2 linked regions of the Diceros bicornis minor genome follow. The protein of the gene in region 1 interacts with the protein of each later gene in a biochemical or structural test. Links are inferred from orthologs where the notes say so. Each region holds a gene or a part of one and is shown on either strand. Other genes may lie near its edges.

Region 1 (7,523 bases):
ATTGACAAGACAGAGAGTTAAATTTCTTTCAAGAAAAAAACACTATAGAAAGAAAAACAGGATCGACGCTTGTGGTTTACCAGCAGCACCATTAACTAAGATGGAAATGTCATCAGCAAATTCCACCAAGTTTTCAGCCTAAATGTAAATAGTTTTTCTAAGCCATCTAGGGAAACACAGGGCATAAACTTTTAAATTATGCCAAAGACTAATTAAAATAGATATGCCATAGATGTAATTGAATTCAACCTTATTACCCATTTGAGAGGATTGGTTTTAAGGATCAGTCTCACCCTTTAGTGCTTTTCTACAGCCATAAAATACAAGTGGATGTCTCCCCCACCCAATTCAGAGACACCCTGAAACTGAAGCCAATGCACCGAGAGGGCATTATGTTATATGACACATCCTCTTTAAAAGCCCAGGCTGTCTGACATTTGAAGAAATGTCAAATCCCAAGGGCCCGAATCCACTGTGACACATTCTGTTTATTATGTAGCAGCTTGAAGTTGGGGACTCAATGTGCATCTAACTCTACAAAGTTGTGTATTACTTAACGGGCGCTTTCTGATAAGACATAGAGGAAAACATCTGAAGTAAATGACTCTTGATGTTTAGCATGTTATCCTTACCACGACCTTGACAAATCAGATAAGTTAAGACACGGTTCTCTTTAAGTTGCTGCACTTGATGTAAAAAGACCACTGCCTTAACTCTATCATTTTCTTAACTCTAGTTTGGGGATGTTTCTGAGATACCTCCATAAATATTTCTCCTTGCAGGCACATTTTGAAAACTTATAAAGTATCTCTGTTATTTTCCAATTCTTACCAAAACTAGTAGGATGAAGGCATTTGAGAGAGATTGATTCATGTGAAAGTTTCATAAAAAAGAAACATCTCTACAACTCTGAGTTTACTCTGTAAAGGCAACATAGCCATATTATTCAAGAAAATGTCAAAGAATTTTGCATTATTGTGTTACTGCCACCACATGAATTTTCAACCCTCAACTTTCATCAATCACAACAGAATTTCTGGCATTTGGAACTAATTCTCATGGATTTTAATACCACAGAAATGGAATCTAAATTATTTATCAGTCAATGCTCAGAGGTTGTAACTGGGATATATTCAAGGTTAGACATCAAAACTCTGGGAAGAATTAAGATTGAAACACAAGTTTATAAAGATCCATATTCAAGAAGATAAAAAAATAATTTGTAACTTCGTAAATGTAGATCATACATAACTGTCAGTTTCCCCAATTAAGGGCACCTCATAAACCCAATGGTCTCTTCATGTAGCTGCTTTTTCTCTCTGCACCCTTAGGCATTTCTGGGCATCTAAAATCTATCAAGACAAGTCTAAACCTCACCAGGAATGTACAGCACTGATAAGTACAAGAAAAATTCTAGTTCTCTGCTCTTTATAAGCTAATTTATAAACGTCTTAATATGGATACATTGTTTTATTCTACAGATATTGCTGCATCTAGTTGATAGCAAAGTTTCCTTAATTTAATAACAAAATTATGAACATGCACCAGAGAAAAGCATTTGAACTTCCTTCTACAAACAATCCCTCAGATTAATCACAGATAACTGTCTGGAAGTCTGTATCAGGAGCTTTAATCATCAGCGTCAACCTGAATATGAACAATTATTTCTTCCAAATAAGCTAGCCTTCCCTATTCAGGAAGAAAAAACCCAGTTATCCAAAAACAATAACTACAACAGAACATATTCTAATCACCTACTACACTGGTTTGCAAGGTACTTTTTTGAATGGCTCATTAAAATGATAACATAATTAATTGCACCTAACATATTAACGTGCATAGACCTAGACTGGTTATACTGTCTAGATGCTACCTGATGGCTATTCTCACAACAAAACAAGCAAAATGTAGCACTTCAGTCCTTACAGAAGGCTCACAGAGAACACCATCTGGGAAACCTTTTGCATTTAAGATTAAAGCTCCACACAAGGTTTATTGTTAGCCCCAGCATGCGAGAAGGAACGGAGGGTGGAGGGGAGCGCTTACTTCGAAAATGCTCTGCAGCGTAATAATAGACATCCTCATAGCCCTCGTGGTAATCCTCTTCTGGTCGGTACTTTTTTCCCTTTCTTCTCCTAGATCTTCTTATCTGCTTGACAAAACCCAGGAAGCGGTCCATCTCTCACTCACCCTGCAGCCTGGCTCAGCCAGCACCAGAGCGGAGCACAGCCCAGCTGCTCCGGGAGCTGGGGGAGCATGAACGCCCAGCACCAACCCGCGCCGGACGCGCTACCCTTCCATCTGCCTCTGTGCCACCATCAACGCAGAGAATCGAGCCATGGGAGGGGGGACATCACAGCGATATGGGGTTGACAAGATTTCTTACTTTGCTCAATAAACTGTCAAATGTGCAACTTAGAAAAAAAAAAAAAGGAAAAGAGAGAGAAAGTGAAATGATAATGAAAGACTACGAGAAAAAACAAGCAGCAAAGCTTTGGACTTCAACACAAAACAGAACAAAGTTCAACAGGAGATTCAGCTGAGGCGAGAGGGGTGCCCGCGCTAGAAATGCCCTCTCCAGCGTCTCCATCATCGGGGCGGGGGTGGAGGAGAAGAGAGGGGCGGGGAAACTTGTTAGTCAATGGACTGAACCAAAGCTAGAGACTGCACCGACTCTTTCTTACCCGCTAATCCCACCCCCTAATCCTAGCGCCCCGATCGCAAAGCACGTGCTTGGGAAACTTCTTGGAAAGCTATTGTTTTGCAACGGGCAGACGGATTAACCCTTTGTGCGCGCTTGCATATCATATTCATGAGCAGCAAAGTGGTTTCATCCATATGTACTGCCTCTTGCTGACAAAAGTGTGCTGTACGTGTTAATTGGAGCAGCAGAGAGAAGGCTCAGCAGCTGCTTTCAAATGACACGTTTACCCGCTGGGCATTAATGTATTCCAATCGCTGTTTGATCTAAATATTGAAATGCGCTTCACAGAGAGGCTGCTCGTAGGCTAGGTACGGCAGATCACAGTAAGCAAATCAAGGAAACCACATGGTTTTAGAGAAGAGAAACACAAATAATCCAACTCGGCTTACACCAAACTCAAATCTGCACCTTTCTGAGTCGTTACACGTTTTAAAAATATATGAAAACAAATGGGCTAAATAGCAAATAAAACTTAGTTTTTGGTGAAGATGGAGGGGGGAGAGAAGTTTCAAAATATGTCACACTCTGTTCATCCTTTGTCTCTAAAATCACAAGCAATGTTTTCTCTAAGTACCACAATCAGAAACACTTCAGAGTAGACGAAGAGGTACTCTACAGTCTAGACAGGTCAGCGTCACTCATGGATCATTTTCTCTCTAGCTTCTTTCTTCAGCTCTTTAAACGAATGCAGATTTTTAACACTAGGAAAAATTCAATTTGTTTACAACATAATTAATCAAACATGTCAGCATATTCCCTACTAAACTAATAATATGCTGCAGCTCCCTGTTCCCAGAAACGTCATTTTTTAAAAAGCTGCCTACTGTATAAAGGTCGTCAATATCTATGCAATATCAAGTCTGTAGGAGGATTCCAGAGGGAAATGATTGCACTCTGCACTCTGTTAGATTCACAGGCAATCCACCTCTCTAAATTGAGACGGTTCTCTATTTTCAGATATTAATTGCTAATGATGGAGTAGGGAGACATTTACTTAGAGAGGTAAATATTCATCAACCAAGAATATTTCAGCTCTGAAATGTGTAAAAGTTAGGTTGAATGGTTACATGAATTTCCCCGATTCCTAGAGATTTCCCATTTTTTTTATGCCTATGAGTGAGTTTGTGAAGAGAAACACAAACTTAATGATGCTGACAAAAAGATGCTATAAAATGTTTTATGAATACCTTTAAACAAAAAATCACTTGTCCTTGGTTCCAAATCCTTTCTTTATAATTCTGACTCCCTCAACCAAAGTAAACTAAACAATTAAAAAACAGTGAACTACAACTTTGAAGATCTGGAGTCTAGATCTTGAATAGTCATTAAATAAGTGATGATAACAATACATAATCTCTTTATTTAATCCTCCTATCAACCTTTACAATGAGGTGATATTTCTATGGATGCAGAAGGAAGGTTCAAAGATGTCTTAGTGGCTTGTCCAAGATTGCGAAGGTTAACACTGCCAAGTACTACCTCGTACCAGGTACTTTTTTCATACAAATTCAGAGATTATCTTGTCTTTCTAAGAATTGTTTGCATTCCGTATTTCATTGTTTTCTATATGTTTGCTATTCACACGGGATTTGAAAATAGCTGACTTTCATTTTTAATTGGGCTAAACATATATTCTGGTGTATGTGATTAATTCGTCAAGTACACTTGACCCCAGAGATTATGCAGGCACCAAATTTTACCCAACTACGCCTGAATTATAACTCCTAAATTAGTGGAGTACACGTTCCTTAAGTTTTGTAGTTTTAAACTCCCAGTTTGATCTAAAAGGACTGACATTATAGAGCAGATGATGCTTCGATAGAGTGAAGATGCTTTTTACATAGACCAACTTAAAACATTCCGCTACAGTTTACTGATTTTTAATTTCAGTATTTAAAGAGAATTAGATTTTCTCAGGCAGTGGTAAGCAACTATTTTTGAATAGAATCAATGCAAAGTAAAATTGTCTACATACCAAACTTCATATTTCAGAAATAAACAGAAATTATGCTACAGCACCTTTCTATTATTTTCCCAGTTTTGAAGGATTTTATTTGGGAGGTTAACATTTTGGTATCTGATTATAATGACAAAATTTTTACACAAGATGAAGTTTGGCAGTGCTAAGGAAGAGTTTAGAGTTCAGCCATATACTTGGAGGGGTATGGTAGAGGAGAATAATCCTAGATGCTTGGGAAGCAGGAATAGGGCATCTGTTATTTAGAGGAGGTCTAGTTGGGTCACAAAGCATGAAAGAATGTGGCAGCATGCCATGTGAGGGAGGGGAAGCCTGTGTATATATGTCACAATTCAGAAGACAGAAGGCAAGACACTGCTGCTCTGCCTGAGGGGTGGTGCAGGTGGACCAGATCCTTGCATCAGCCTTCCTGTGTCCACCTCTCTGAATTTTTCCCATCTTCTATCCCAAATCCTCCATGTTTAGCAATGGAGGACCAATCTAAAATCTACAAGGACTTGCTGGTACGCAGCAGTTAGCTAACACCCCACAACAATTGAAAAATTAGTACAGTGAAGTTCAAGTCCACTCAGTTAGTTGTACTACTGCTTCTGTCGAGAAAATCGCCCTTTCACGCTGTAGCATGAACGCTGGTAAGTGGTGTGACTCACCAGCTATTGCACTCTTCGGTCTAAACAGATCAGACGGTTGAGAGGTTGCAAATGGCAGTTCACGGGACAAGTATCTCCCACAAATGTGTTTTGTTTGGCTCACATAAGTGTTGTTTGGTTTGTTTGTTTTTTTGAATTGGACCAATATCTAAAAGTCAGGAAATTCACAAATAATCAGACATTTGCTTTTTTCTTAAAAAGTCAAAAGATCAGGCAACTTTAGGCCCAATTCCAACATGGCAACTATTGATTAGAGCTGAGTGGTGGCTGCCAGCCATAAAATAACATATGCTTTCCTCTTAGTCACTGTCTTCTCCCCTCCCCGGGGCCAACTCTCTCAATCAGTTACCACCTGGCCCTGCAGGCATTGATGCCTGCGAACCCCGAACCTTGAACCTCGAACCTCGGGTGAGGTTCCAAAACACTGTCTGCTTTAAGAGAAATTTCAGCTCTTCTATATTTTCGTGTAAAGAAAGCAGATTACTATGACAAATTGGTTTTAGTTGAGCTAAATGTTCACTAAACTATAAAATTAAATTTCTTAGAAAAAAATTTGTTCACATGAGAAAATAAAGCAGGTTGAATTACTCAACAAAATGTGCTTCAACCAAGAACAGTAAATATATGTTAGTAAATATTTAAAAACAACAACAAAAAAGCTAATTCTTTTCTTCCTGAAAAGTAGGCAACTGCCTGAATAGCATTTACACAGTTTCCAAACTCTTCTGAATTAGATTCTCCATCCCCTTTTAGGAAAAGAGGAATAGACCAACTACTGAGATTAAATCTTCAATTTACACCCTTCCCTAGATCACTGATTAAGTAGTACCCTTCTGTGTTTACTTAGATTGAGTAATGGTTACAGTCTTTTCTGAGTAGCAGTATGGGACGTCTGGCCTACCAGAGAAATCTTTGAGACATTAAGTCAATCTAGCACTTTCAGATGCCACAGCGTTTGCACGTGTCGCCAAGAACTGCGGCAGAATCCCCGTGACCTTGGAGGAGACACTCTGACCCACTGAGGATGGCAGACAAGGGAATACCCGCTGGTCCCCGGCAACGAAGGTATTGTTAACCTTGCCAGATCCAACACAACTTTACTGTGCAAATAACTTGTAATATCCCCCTTCACCAGTCTAAATGCAATTCTAGATCACGGGACATATGCATACATAATTTAAACATAAAATGTCTTCATAATAATATATATTTAAATATATGTTTAATAATATGTATTTAAATTAGTAAATCTGAGGACACAACCACACCAGAAGATGTAGTTAGATCCTTGCACCTACTTCTAATGAATGATTTCAAACTTTAGAGATGATCAGAAGCCATTCCATACAATGTACAGAAAATACAAGGGTTGAGTCATAGGGACACCGCAGCAAAAATTAATATGTTTGCTCTATATTAAAATTGTGAAAAATACTTCATGTCAAGAGAATAAAATGACAAATCACAGACTGGGGGAAAATATCTGCAAAAGATACGTCTGATAAATGACTGTTATCCAAAATATACAATTCTTAAAACTCAACAATAAGAAAACAAACTACTTGATTAAAAAATGGGCCAAAGACTTGAACAGACTCTTCGCCAAAGAAGATACACAGATGGCAAAAAAGCATATGAAAAGATGTTCCACATCATATGTCATCAAGGAAATGCAAATTAAAGCAACAATGAGATACTACTACACACCTATTAGAATGACCAAAATCCAGAACACTGACAACACCAAATGCCGACAAGGATGTGGAGCATCAGGAACTCTCATTCATTACTGGTGAGAATGCAAAGTGGTACAACCAGTTTCGAAGACAGTTTGGCAGTTTCTTACAAAACTAAACATACTCTTACCATATGATCCAGCAATCACACTCCCTGGTATTTACCCAAAGGAGTTGAAAACTTATGTTCACACAAAAATCTGCACTCAGATGTTTATAGCAGCTTTACTCATAATTGCCAAAACTTGGAAGCAACTAAGATGTCCTTCAGTAGGTGAGTGGATAAATAAACTGTGATACACCAGATAACGGAATATTATTCAGTGCTAAAGAGAAATGAGCTATCAAGCCCCGAAAAGACATGGAGGAAACTTAAATGCACACTGCTAAGCGAAAGAAGCCAATCTGAAAAGACTACATACCATATGATTCCAAGCATGTGACATTCTGGAAAA
Region 2 (6,960 bases), on another chromosome or scaffold:
GGGAGGATAGACTGGGGGGGCGTGGACGGACTGGCGCCGCGGGACCGCGGCGGAGGCGGCTGCCTCCGGGCTCGCGAAGTGATGGGTGGTCTGGACTAGTGTGTTGGCAGCGGAGGTGGAAGAAACGAACGGATGCAGGTCAGCTGGATTCAGCGGAGGGGAACCAATGCACTGATTTTGGATTGGACGAGTGGGTGGAGGGAGGAGGAGGAGGTGTGGGAGAGTCCTGGAGAGGGGCGGGCTTGGAGGGACAAGAGAGCGGCCCTGTCACCCGGTGATGCCCAAGAGCGGATGAGTCTGGAGTTCAGCAGAGGAGCAGGGAAGTTTAAACTGGCCCCCTGTCCCTGGTACACAGATGGTGGGAAGGAAGGACCTTGGCACTGGCCGGCTCAGCCCTCTGAGGTCCCAGCTCTGGGAACAAATCCTGAGCTGTTAAGAAAAACCCAGCAGGTAGGGCAAGTTCTAAAACTTTCCTTGAGAAGCCACACTGCTCAAGGCACAGCCTGGTGATTTTTCAGGGTTTTTTTTTTTTTTTTTGGTGAGGAAGATTGGCCCTGAGCTAACATCTGTGCCCATCTTCCTCTATTTTGTATGTGGGTCGCTGCCACAGCGTGGCTGATGAGTGGTGTAGGTCCACACCCCCGGATCTGAACCCACGAACCTGGGCTGCCAAAGTGGAGTGCACGAATGTAACCGCTATGCCGCGGGGCCAGCCCGTATGCTCACACTTTTAACACAAATGATAGCATGCTATCCACACTGTTATGCACAGTGCTTCTTTTCCTTAACAGTAAATTCTAGTGATCTTTTCTAGTTTCTTTTTTTTATTGTGGTAAAATATACATAAAATTTACCATTTCAGCCATTTTTAAGTTCAGTGGCATTAAGCACATTCACATGGTTGTGCAACCATCACCACCATCCATCCCCAGAACATTTCCATGTTCCAAACTGAAACTCTGTCCCCGTTAAACACTAACTCCCTATCCCCCTCCCCAGCCCCTGGCACCCGCCATTCTACTCTCTGTCTCTACGGATTTGCCTATTTTGGACATTTTATAGAGAAATGATGCCACACAATGTTCATCCTTTTTGCGTCTGGGTTATTTCACTGAGCATAGTGTCTTCAAGGTTCATCCATGTTGTGGCTGTGTCAGAATTTCACCCCTTTTTATGGCTGAATAATATTCCATTGTCTGGATACACCACGGTCATCCGTCAATGGACACTTAGGTTGCTTCCACCTTTTGGCTATTGTGAATCATGCTGCTGTGAACACGGGTGTAGAAATATCTGTCAGAGCCCTTGCTTTCAATTCTAGTTTCTTTCTGAAGCATCAGAAAGCTATCCTGTTGGCTGAAATATCAGAAATGAAGCAGCTGACAGGGGCCGGCCCCATGGCCTAGTGATTAAGTTTGTACACTCCGCTTTGGCAGCCCAGGTTGGCAGGTTCAGATCCTGGGCATGGACCTACACCAGTCGTCAGCCATGCCGTGGCGGTGACCCACATACAAAATAGTGGAAGACTGGCACAGATGTTAGCTCAGGGCTAATCTTCCTCAGCAAAAAAAAAAAAAAAAAAAGAGGAAGATTGGCAATGGATATTAGCTCAGGGCGAATCTTCCTTTGCTGAGGTCACACCAGTAGGACGAGGTGGAGCTGGGACTTGAACCCGGGGTGCCTGGTCCCCTGTTCAGCAGAGAGGAAGGCAGGAGGGCAGAAGGCAGGACCAGGGTCCTGAAGCTGTGAGGTGCCTGTGTGTGTGTGGGGGGGGGGTGAGATGAGACCTGAGGGACTGGGGGAGTCTCAGAACATGGGGAAGCCCGAGATCCTGAAATCACGCGGTTCTCTATTTTTCTTCCCCAAACAAAGAAAATGACTTTGGAAGGAGACACGGCCACCACGGATGCTCACTCAGGCTCCGCTGTGACACCTGGCAGTTCCGAGTCCCGGAAGAGGCCCACCTGCACACCATCCTCGCCTGAGCCCCCGGAATTCAGCACTTTCCGGGTCTCCCCGTGAGGCCGAGGATCGGGGGCCCCTCTCTCTGTGTCCGTGCGCCCCCCATTCAGCCCTCTCCCTTGAGCTGGCCGGGTGCGTGGGGCCAGAGGTCCCTCCAGCTACTTCGGGGGCCTGGCTGTCTCTCTCTCAGGGAATTGAACAGAGGAGACGAAGGGGGCCCCTGGCCTTGGCACCTACCTCACAGAGGAGCAGGAGTGGGAGAGGGGGCGCGGGCATTGGCCTGGAGCCTGGATGGAAAGCAGGAAGCTTCCTTTTGGATTCCCAGCTTCTCAGACCTCCAGGGAAAGAGACGTTAGGAACCCTCTGGCCCCCAGCTGGGCCACAAGAGGTCTGAGCTCTGCACACACCCCTCTGATTCCCCCCATCTTCCAGCCACACCTGACTGGGCCAACCCGACTGGGTTTTTGGATCATGGGGTACCCAGGGTATGTTCTGAGTGTCTGCCCTGCTGGCATGCCTAAGTTATTAATTATAACGCGTGTTGAGCTCTTTCCAAGGCGTCTGTGGAGTGTAATCCTTCAAGCCCGGGATCTCTGGGGTCCAATCACCCGATGCCTGGGGGGAGGGGGAGTACCCCTCAAATGCATGCAGTCAGGGTGGTGTGTGGGGAGGCCCATGGGGGTGCGGGGAGGGGGCAGTGCCACGCGGAGTCTCTGCTCAAGTCCTTGCACTGGTGGGTAGAGGAGGTGGACTGATGAGGATGGGGCAGAGGGACACGGGGAGAATGAGTAGGTCCAGGGAAGGGCGCGAGCTGGGCAAGATGGGAAGAGGCCGCAAGCCTCTCTGGGTCCCCCAAAACGGAGTGGGGCCCTGGAGCAGTGGAGGGGGGACTTGGAGGGAAGATGTGTGTGGATGCTCTGCTGGGTTCACTGGCCAGCCATCACTGGGGGAAGGGAGAGTAACTGGGGGAGGGAAGGGGCTAAGGGAGGGGTCCAAGAATATTTTGTGGGGGAGGAGACCGTGAAGGGCCGAGGATGGAGGAGGAGGGCGCTGTGGGAAGGGGACGGAGACGATCGGGAAGAGACAAGGCGCGGTGGACCGCCGGGGAGAGGGCTTTCCCACAGGCTGTTCACGCCCTGCGAGAGGCCGAGCCCCACCGCAAACTGCTTTCCCAGCCCGGCGGGCTGGGGGCGTGGCCACGGCGGGGCGTGTCCCTAATCCTGGCCCCGCCCCTCACGCCGGCCCTCCTGGAGAGCCAGGTGCCTCACAAAGCGAGGCCCTGTGGGCGGGAGCAGGGCCGGGATAGGGGCGGGGCCCAGCTGCGACGAGGCCCCGCCCCTCCGCGTGCCGCCTCACAAAGCCGGGCGGGGCCAGGGGCGGAGCCCAGCCTCAGGGGCGTGTGGACGCCGGCGGGCGTCAGACCCGCCCCCGCCGTTCCCCGGGCCGGGGAGCCGCCTCACAAAGCGCGGCCGTTGGCGCGGGGCGGGGCCCGGGGCGTGTCCGCGAGGCCTAGCCCCGCCCCCTAACGCGCGCTCCCGCCCCTCCCCGCCACCCCCGGTCGTCCGCACCCGCACCGCCTTACACAGCGCGGCCGTCGAGCCGCGCCGGGCTGGGGGCGTGGCCCAGGCTGGGGGCGTGTCCGCGCGGCCGAGCACCGCCCCCTGACGCACGCTCCGGCCCCCGCTCTTCCTGGGCGGTGGAGCCACCTCACAAAGCGGCGACCGTTCGCGCGGGGCGGGGCGGGGCGGGGCCGACTCCGCCCCCCGTCGCGCCTGCTCCCCGCGCCAGAGCCGCCGGCAGGGGGCGCTGCGCCGCGGGGCCGGGCCGTGGCGGCGGTGGCGGCGAGGCGGCGCGTGGCCTGCAGGCGGCGCTGCCCGGCTCGGCCTCGGCCTCGGCCTGCGCGGCGGCGGCAGCGGCGGCGGCGGCGGCGGCGGCCTGGGCCCGGGCGCGGCGGCGGCGGCGGCGGCGGCGGCGGGGCCTGGAGCCGGATCTAAGATGGCAGCGGCGGCGGCGGCGGCGGCGGGGCCGGGCGCGGGCGGCGCGGGGCCGGCGGTCCCGGGCGGCGCGGGGCCCTGCGCGGCCGTGTCGGTGTTCCACGGCGCCCGCCTGCTCACCATCGGCGACGCGAACGGCGAGATCCAGCGGCACGCGGAGCAGCAGGCGCTGCGCCTCGAGGTGCGCGCCGGCCCGGACGCGGCGGGCATCGCCCTCTACAGCCGTGAGTGGGGCCCGGGGCCGGGGGGCGCGCTGCGGGGTCCGTGGGGCCGAGCCCGGGAGGGGCCCCGAGGAAGGGGTGCGCAGGGACGATGTCAAGGGACAGAGAGGAAAGAGGGCGTGCGTGGTGGCCGGAGGCGGCCGGAGTGCGCAGGGAAGCGGGAAATGGGGAGTGAGGGCCCTGAGATTGGGAGGGGTGGGCAGGAAGTGGGGGGCCGAGAGTGGAAGGGGAGTTGGGCGGAAGCTGGGGGGAAGGGAGGGGAGGGGGCCCGGGGTGGGCGAGAGGTGGGAGTCTGGGTGCGGGTGGGGCCGCCCCGGGGGGGAGGAAGGTGGGCTGTGGGCAGCCTCTGGCCATCTCGGGGGACCCCCTGGACCGCTATGGACAGTCGGAAAGTGGTGCCCAGTCTGGGGCGGCCTGCAAGACCCGGTTCCAGCCATCTGGAGGGCTTGGCCTTGCGGACCCCCGAGTGGGAAACTTCTAGATCTGGGGAGAGGGCCCATGCGAGCCGCTGGAGGTGCCCCTGGTGGAAACGTGGACGGGGAGGGCCCCGTCTTGCTGCCCGGCTCCGAAGTAAGAGGTAACCCAGCCGCCTCCTCCTCCGCCACGGTTCTCCGATCTTCCTTTTGGGGGATGTGAGAAGCTGGTTATCTATTCAGAAGCTAGTTTCAAAACTGATGTTTCAGTGGAAAAAAGAAATCACGAACGTGTTGGCCAAGGACCCCGAGTCTTCCTAGTTCATCCGTTTTCTTTCTCTTGTTCCTCTGGCTTCTCTGTCCCCTGATGCCACTGTTCACGTTTTGCTATTCTGTTTCATTCAGTTTTGTCCCTCAGGGTTTCTTGCAGTGACGCTCTGAGGAGGCCTTTGGTGCCATTAGCCTGTGTGAATATTTTGCCACTTCGGGAACGGGGTGTTCGGAAGGGAAGTGTGTGGAGTGGTTGGTTCACACAAGGTTCTCCCCCCTCCTCGACTTGGAAGATTTAAACTAAGGGAGCTGTGTCTGTTTGCCAGTGTCGCATCTCTCTTGCTGGGGCAGAGGTTGGTCCTCTTGGAGCAGAGGAGAGGGAAGAAGTGTATGCTGGGTGGGCATCAGAGCCCAGGACAGACACTTAAGCTCCCTCTTAATCTCAGCAGGATCCCCCAGCTGATAAGGATGGCCATTCATTCAGCAAGAATTAACAGGGAACAGAATAAAGTCAGGCAGCGTTTCTCAAACTGGGGTCCCAGGGCTGCTCCTCAAAAGAGTTCCAGGAGAGTCAATTTTTCCTTTGTAAATAAACTTTTTTTGATTTTAGAACAGTTTTAGGTTTATAGAATTATTGGGGAGATAGTACAGAGAGTTCCCATATACTCCACACCCAGTCTCCCCAATTCTTCACATCTTTCTTTGGGAGTTTGTACTTCTGTGTTTTTGTTTTGTGGATAATCTCGAAATGATTCTGAGTTATAACACTTCTCTTTTCGAGGTAATTCGTAACTGAAGCGTTCGGAAGGAGGAGAAAGTCCACGTTTCTCAAACTGAGATCTTCTGTCTGGGATGATACAGTCTCAGGAGTCAAAGAACTTTTTTCCTTTATGCTCAGATAACGTTGGTGTGGGTTCTGGAGTCAGCTGAACCTGGTTCTGATAGTTTCCCAGGGCTGCCGGAACAAACTTGGTGGCTTAAACAAAAAGGGATGCACTGTCTTACAATCCACGGCCAGAAGTCCGAAATCAAAGTGTCAGGGAGGCCACACTCCCTCCAGAGGCCCTGGAGGAGAATCTTTTCTTGCCTTTTCCAGCTTCCGCGGGCTGCATGCGGTGCTTAGCTTGCGGCAGCACATCTCCGGTCTCTGCCTCTGTCTCCACGTGGCCTCACCCCTGTGTCTCTCTGTCTCTTGTCCTCTAAGGACACCTGTCATTGGATTTAGGGCCCACCCTAAATCCAGGATGATTTTATTTTTAAGAGCCTTAAGGTCATCTGCAAAGACCGTTTTTCCAGATAAGGTCACTTTCACAGGTTCCTGGGGTCAGGGCTTGGACATATGTTTTAGGGTCCACTACGTGGGCTAGAGCGGTGCCCGCCAGTCGCTGGGGGTCTCTGTGGCTCATTGGTGGAGCGGGGGTGATGAAAGGACTGTGTGGCACAGCGTGTTTGCTCCATAAGTGAACACTTCTGTGGAGTGGCACCTGCTCCCGTAATGGGCTGGTGATGGCGTCCAAGTTGGCTGGTCGCTGCCCAGGGCGAGGCCGCCCTGGTTCCCGAGCAGCCTGGAGCACGCGGTGCGCCGGAGGCATTGCTCTGAATCGTGCCTGGGTGGGGGAGTGCAAAGTCCCAGGGCTGGGGCACAGGGCTGTGCACCTGGATCTGAGAGCACTGGGCGCTGGCTGACGGTCCCCTGGAAAAGTCAGAGATGGTCCAGCCACTGGGGGGATGCCTGGGGACGTGGCAGCTGGACAGGTCAAGGAGGAGCGCCCCTCATGACTTGGGGGTGAACCAGGCTGCTGGGGGCTTTAGGCCTTCTCTTGGGATGAACTTCCTTCACTGGCCTCAGCGTGTTCCAACCTGGACCCTTCTGGGATCTGGATGCCTTGGCCAGCCCTGTTCCGCTCACCTGTCCCTCACGAGGCGGCATCCTGCAAGCTGCTTGTGATTCCACACCCCTGAGATTCGAATCTCTGTGTGGATGGGGACAGGGACGTGGGCCGAGACACCCACAGGAATCTCCCAGTGCCTCACACGTGGGAGGTGAGCCCGAGGTGTCCTTGGTGCTGGCGAGGGTTCTGAACGTGGAGTCTGACTGGG

The links.
Region 2: the proteins of GRIP1 (region 1) and CARM1 form a complex in vitro, tested with the Homo sapiens proteins (2 studies listed by BioGRID). The link is inferred for Diceros bicornis minor from reciprocal best matches to the Homo sapiens genes GRIP1 and CARM1.

The regions. Positions count from the first base shown.
Region 1 is NC_080756.1:4,100,462-4,107,984, reverse strand, and holds the start of GRIP1 (glutamate receptor-interacting protein 1), read right to left. Parts: upstream 3,001-7,523; 5' UTR 2,180-3,000; coding exon 2,047-2,179; intron 1-2,046. UniProt on the Homo sapiens protein: May play a role as a localized scaffold for the assembly of a multiprotein signaling complex and as mediator of the trafficking of its binding partners at specific subcellular location in neurons.
Region 2 is NC_080769.1:8,489,059-8,496,018, reverse strand, and holds the start of CARM1 (histone-arginine methyltransferase CARM1), read left to right. Parts: upstream 1-3,942; 5' UTR 3,943-3,957; coding exon 3,958-4,180; intron 4,181-6,960. Other genes in the region: C30H19orf38 (protein HIDE1), read left to right, coding at 1,873-2,022. UniProt on the Homo sapiens protein: Methylates (mono- and asymmetric dimethylation) the guanidino nitrogens of arginyl residues in several proteins involved in DNA packaging, transcription regulation, pre-mRNA splicing, and mRNA stability.